2 linked regions of the Macaca mulatta genome follow. The protein of the gene in region 1 binds, or shares a complex with, the protein of each later gene. Links are inferred from orthologs where the notes say so. Each region holds a gene or a part of one and is shown on either strand. Other genes may lie near its edges. The genes, in order: CWC22 and CRNKL1.

The links.
Region 2: CWC22 (region 1) and CRNKL1 share a complex: the UniProt entries of both Homo sapiens proteins name them as parts of the minor spliceosome. The link is inferred for Macaca mulatta from reciprocal best matches to the Homo sapiens genes CWC22 and CRNKL1.

What each region holds. Positions count from the first base shown.
Region 1 is NC_133417.1:84,878,504-84,881,283, reverse strand, and holds the end of CWC22 (pre-mRNA-splicing factor CWC22 homolog), read left to right. Parts: intron 1-645; coding exon 646-1,229; 3' UTR 1,230-2,122; downstream 2,123-2,780. UniProt on the Homo sapiens protein: Required for pre-mRNA splicing as component of the spliceosome. As a component of the minor spliceosome, involved in the splicing of U12-type introns in pre-mRNAs. Promotes exon-junction complex (EJC) assembly.
Region 2 is NC_133415.1:63,975,925-63,979,758, forward strand, and holds part of CRNKL1 (crooked neck-like protein 1), read left to right. Parts: intron 1-341; coding exon 342-433; intron 434-1,258; coding exon 1,259-1,417; intron 1,418-1,822; coding exon 1,823-1,989; intron 1,990-3,834. UniProt on the Homo sapiens protein: Involved in pre-mRNA splicing process. As a component of the minor spliceosome, involved in the splicing of U12-type introns in pre-mRNAs.

The sequences.
Region 1 (2,780 bases):
TACAAAAATTAGCCAGACATGGTGGCAGATACCTATAATCCTAGCTATTCGGGAGGCTGAGGCAAGAGAATTGCTTGAACCCAGGAGGTGGAGCCGAGATTGTGCCATTGCAATCCAGCCTGGGCAACAAGAGCAAAACTGTCTCAAAAAAAAAAAAAAAAAAAAAAAAGGCCGTGTGCAGTGGCTCAAGCCTGTAATCCCAGCACTTTGGGAGGCCGAGATGGGCGGATCACGAGGTCAGGAGATCGAGACCATCCTGGCTAACACGGTGAAACCCCGTCTCTACTAAAAAATACAAAAAACTAGCTGGGCGAGGTGGCGGGCGCCTGTAGTCCCAGCTACTCAGGAGGCTGAGGCAGGAGAATGGCGTGAACCCGGGAGGCGGAGCTTGCAGTGAGCTGAGATCTGGCCACTGCACTCCAGCCTGGGCGACACAGCGAGACTCCATCTCAAAAAAAAAAAAAAAAAAAAAAAATTAAGCATTTGGTAAGACCCTGTGTCATCAGACTTTCTATTCAATCAATTTGGCTTTGCATCCAGTTTATCTGAGTTAATAAACCTACAGTGTATCGGTAAATGTGATTGTTATAATTATGAAATTAAGATTGAAATAAAAGCTAACTGTCTTTTATTTTACACATGCAGCTAATGATGTAAGAAAGAAGGGACATGGAAAGACCAGAAGTAAAGAAGTAGATAAATTGATCAGAAACCAGCAAACAAATGATAGGAAACAAAAAGAAAGAAGACAGGAACACAGGCACCAGGAAACAAGGACTGAGAGAGAAAGGTCAGAAAAACACAGAGATCAAAATTCAAGAGATTCAAATTGGAGAGATCCTATAACAAAGTACACATCAGACAAAGATGTTCCTTCTGAACGAAATAACTACAATAGAGTTGTGAATGACAGAGACCAAGAAATGCATATAGATTTAGAAAATAAGTATGGTGATCCCAAAAAGAAGAGAGGAGAGAGAAGAAATTCTTTTTCTGAAAATGAGAAGCATAGATACCGAAATAAAGACAGTGAAAATTTCAGAAGAAAAGATAGATCAAAGTCAAGGGAAATGAATAGAAAGCACTCAGACTCAAGAAGTGATGAAGATAGATATCAAAATGGTGCCGAGAGACGATGGGAAAAATCTAGCAGATACTCTGAACAATCCAGAGAATCAAAGAAAAATCAGGACCGGCGAAGAGAAAAGTCTCCAACAAAACAAAAATAATTCTACAAAATGACATAAACTGGACATGCCTTATATTCAGTTGAAACAAATTATTTTTTACTTTGATTGACAAACTTTATAGAGAATTCTTGTATAAAGTACTGGTTTGTATTTGTAAATTTAAAAAATGTTTTCACTTTAACATGTTTTATAATTGATACATCTCAAGGCCCTATACATAAAATTATTTGAAAAGATTCACTAGAAAGGGATGTAAGTCTTGCTTATATTTTGTGAATAAAATGATCAAATGCTCATTGATTCAGTGATGTTTTTTCAATTGACAAAATATTTTTTTGAATTGTTTAAGAAGCTGTTATAGTGAATTATCAGTGCTTTTTTGTTTGTAACTGAAGACCAAAACAGGTGAACCTTTTCAGTTTAACATTTTTGCTTTGTTAATGAGATGTTATGAATATTTTTCAGGTGGTCACTTTTTTTTTCAAGTAGAGGATTTATTACAATTTTCATATTAGGCTTTGAACAAAGTATGTAATGTGTAATTTTTTTCACAAGTGTTGGTAAAGCTAGGTGTATGTTAGTCTTTAAACCAATACACAGTTTATAATTAGAACTTCTCCCACAGGAAATTTCTTCTCTCTGGACTCCTTGATATCATTTAATTGAAATTCTTTGTGATTAGTGCATTTTTCTCAGCCTTGAAGTTATATCACTGTTGATGAATTAATGTGTATTTAATTTTTAGTTTAGATTAATAGATCACTGGCAAACATATAGTTGTGAAATATGCAAGCAGCCTAACTGTAATTTCTGGTTTTTATACGAATTTTAAGGGTTTCCATCATTGTAACTGTTAACCGATTAATTAATATGACATTAGTTACTATTTTTGAAATAAATATTTCCTCTAAGATCTTAGACTTGCTGACAAACATTTGACCTTCCTTGCTAAATATAGACTTCTTGTGTTTGCTCACCTTAAAGGTGCATATAGTTCATTTTAGCCAATGTTTGGTTTCAGGAATAGTGGGACCACCATTTTAATGTTTAGTTTTTGGGCATATGCTTATTCAAAATGTTTCCTATTTTTGTTGTTTAACTTGAATATAAATAACAATAAAATTCATGTAAATAAATATTCTCTCCTCCCCACCAACTCACAAAAAGCATTCATTTGAATGAGACAGCTTGGATACATTCCTTTTAGTGTTTTTTCCCTTTGTGTTGGTTAAAATTTGGTCTCATTGGAAGGGACTATCATGGACAGTGCATTCCACAGAACTACAAGCTGAGCAAATTGGATTTAACAAACATGTGGGCCATGAGCCCTAAGAGAAATAGTTTATTTTTTTTACCTGAATCCTCATCTTCAGGGTTGGTAAAAAGTAAAAAACAGTAGACTAGAAATTTTAGTTTGTTTTCGCCACTTTAACCTTAGTTTATGACTTTTACATGTAAAAATGGGAACCCATTCATTTTATTAAGTGCTTAAGACCTTAGAGTTATTAGATTATTTTTAAAATGTTATTAATATGTATTAAGCTTCTACTGTTTGCTCAGGTTTGTTTTAGGTACTAGAGATAAAACAGT
Region 2 (3,834 bases), on another chromosome or scaffold:
AGAAGACTTTGGGATCTGATTTGACCTCTTCACTCTAGAATGTGGGACTGTTTTAAAGCATGAATTCTGTTATATATGAAATTCTGAACGTTACCAGAGGACTTACGGGTAATAGTCAAAATATTTTTTATTAGGGACAAGCATAGACTATTTTAAAGTATCAGTTAGTTGATTGTAACCTTCTGTAGTGGATTTCTTATTCCTCAAGGATTCCAGGATGTAATTTCTCTTAAATATGAACGAAATGAATAACCAGTTTAGTACAAGACTTAAAATAGACCAAGGGTGCTGTCATTTTTAGTCATTTGCCCTTTGACTTGACCCTTTTTGCCTTCTTCCAGACTTTTGAAGATAACATAAGAAAAAACAGGACTGTAATTAGTAACTGGATAAAATACGCACAATGGGAAGAAAGCCTAAAGGAGATTCAGAGGTAAAATTGCTGAAAGTGTAGTTTTGTGTATAATGATTCATAGGTTAACAGATACCAAAAAGAAAAGAAGAAAAAGTTAAAGCACAGATAAAAGATTGTGCCTCGGGTAGAAATTGTCAACTATGGTTCCATGAAACCCTAGGGTTCCCTTGAGGGCCTCAGGAGCACTGGGGTAGAATAGTCCCGGAGGGCGGGGCGGGAGACACTTTACAGATTGATCTTGTCAGCTGTAGCTAAAGTAGCACAATTTCATCTGCTTTCTATATATTGAGATTTTTTTTTTTTTTAATGTTTAGCTGAAAACCAATGGCCAAAAAAATAAAAATTGCAATCTGGCCCTTCCTGTTGTCTCGCTTTCTGCATTCTCCCCTCATACCTCCTTCCCCCGCTGCGCCTGTGTACGTGCCACTCCCTGAATATATCATGTCTCCTTATTGTGAGGCTTGGCTGTTCTCCTCGCCTGGAATGAGCACCCCCTCCACACCAACCTTAGTTTCCTGGTAAATTGGAACTTGCCTCGAGTTCTTGTTTCTAGAGTTACCTACTACTTAGCCTTTTCCACCAGACATTTTCATTTCTTCCTCTCTGCTTCCTGTGCAGATCTTGACTATAACATAAATCACATTGCATTATAATTGCATGCATGTCTTTCTATAAGACTTTGTAAGGTACTTGAGAGCATTATATCTTTTCATCATCTTATGCCCAGAACCTGGCTCGTGGTAGACACCTAATAAAACATCAGGGCATTCCAGATAGTGTGAAATAACCGCTGCATGTGTTGTGTGCACTACTTTTGATGCCCTGCAAATCTTGCTTCTTAAGGGCTCGATCCATATACGAGCGTGCTTTAGATGTAGACTATCGAAATATTACACTCTGGCTGAAATATGCAGAAATGGAGATGAAGAATCGCCAAGTCAACCATGCTCGAAATATCTGGGACCGGGCCATAACAACGCTGCCTCGAGTCAATCAGTTCTGGTAAGTTTCTGATAAAACAGCCTTTTGTAGCCTAGAAAAGTTCCACATTTTCTGTATTTATTTTATTTACATGATGATAGTTTAATTTTACATCCTACTTTTTCTTTAAACATAAATGCTTTTTAATGTCCCATAGTCTGTTAAGTCATAATTGTGATGTTCTACAGCTATGTAATCAAAACTAAAATTTTGGTTGCAATCTTTTGTTCATAAGCTTCTTGTTGAACTAGGCAACTTTTAATAAAAAATCTTTTTTTCCAATGGTTCACCCTTTTTCAGATTTATATTTCAATAACAAAACATGTTCGATTTAACCTTTAAGAAAGATAAAATCTTAAATCTTCCTCCCATTCAACAATGGGAGAACTAAACCACAGCAGATATTTTCGGGTGATTTTGTTAAAGGTACAAGTACACATACATGGAGGAAATGTTGGGAAACATTGCCGGTGCCCGGCAGGTGTTTGAGCGCTGGATGGAGTGGCAGCCTGAGGAGCAAGCCTGGCACTCCTACATCAACTTTGAACTGAGATACAAAGAGGTGGATCGGGCCCGCACCATTTATGAGCGATATATCCTTTGGACGAGAACTGAGTGGTGCCATGATTGTCCTGGGTGCTGCTGCTCCTGTAGAGGTGTCTCATGGTCAGGACACACAGTCATTGACATCAGACTAGAAGTCAAGAATGCCAGTTTATCAGCTTCCCTATGTTTTGTAGGGAAAGAGATTGGTCAGAATGAAAATTTGTGATCTGGGTAATTAGTCTTTTCTAGTGAGAGTTTGGGTTTATTTTATTGTAGTGCTGAAAACTAATGTTTCCTCATGGAAAATGATATTCCTGGGAGATTGTTTCCAGGACATCAAGGAGATGCCAAAATCGGTGATGCTTAAGTCCCTGATATAAAATGATGTAGTATTTGCATGTAACGTATGCATAGCCCCCCATATAATTGAAATAATCTCTAGATTACTTATACCTAATGTAATGTGAATGTTATGTAAATAATTGTTATTCTGTGTATTTTAAGGTATAATAACCAAAAAAACTACATGTTCAGTATAGAAGCACTTTTTTCTCATGAATACTTTATCTCGGGTTGGTTGAATCTACAGATATGGAACCCATGGCTGGAGGACTAACTGTACTAAGGTTCTGGCTGCCCTTGCCAGTCCTGTTTTTCTAAGGTTGGTGTTGGTCATTACTACCGTTACTGGAGTTCATCAAAGGTTTACTGTTTATTGGCTGTGTGGCTCCAGTGAGTCATTTAACTCCTTTGAGTCTTCGTGTCCTCTTCTTAAAAACAAGAATAAAAACACCTTTGTTGGGCTGTTGTGAAGATTAAATGATACACATGAAAGCACTTTTGAAACTGAAGTACAGTCATTCCTCATTATTCACAGATTCCATATTTGCAAAATCACATATTTGCTAAAATTTATTTGTAACCCCAAAAATCAGTAATTGTGGCACTTTCACAGTCATTTGTGGACATGCACACAGCATGAAGTCCAGCAAGGCGAGGCTCTGCCTTCTGGTCTTAACCTCGTATAACCATGCCCAGAGCTTGGAGACAGGAAGGGCCAGTGCCATGTAGTGCAAGGAGCTCCGGCCCTGGGGCCAGTTGGGGAGTTTGAATCTGTCAGTGGGGCAGCCTCAGTCCAATCGCTTAACATTTCTGAATCACTTTTCTTACAAAATAATGAAGATAGAATCTGCTAGGATGAGTTCTTTTTAGGATTTAAGATGATCATGAATGTGAGATTGTATATATACATGTTTCCCCTAGGCACAGTGGTTCAATACTCAATAATTAAGTGTTTGCAGTGACTACATAGAACATAACTACCACAAATAATGAGAATCAACTTTACAATGCAGTATTAAGATCTTTTTATTTTTTTACTCTTCTCTCTTTAGGTGACAGTGTTAAGATCTTAATTATGTCTAGTAATTTTAATATTATTAGTTTGACAAAAGCTTTTATAGTACTTGCTATGTGCCAGGCATTATTCTAAGTACTTTACAAATATTGTGGTTTAATCCTCATAACAACCTTGCAGTGTAGGAACTTCTCCATCCTACAGATGAGGGAGCTGAGGCATGAGAGATTAAGTAGCTTGACTAGGTTCTCACAGGTGCTGATGGGAGTAGAATGTGAACCTAGTAGAGCAGCTTCAGAACTGATGCTCTTAACTTCTTTGCCATATTTGAATGTATTATTACTTTGGAAATTAATGATTTATTCAAGGAAGATAGATTGAAATGGCAATTCAAAACTTTCTGCTTTGACTCTAGTTAACAGTTTGCTTTTTATAACATTTTTTTCTTAATTATTAGTTCAAGTATTAATATTTTAATATAATCGGTGCCATTTATTGAACAGACCATTATTGACTACTTACAGTGCTATGTTCT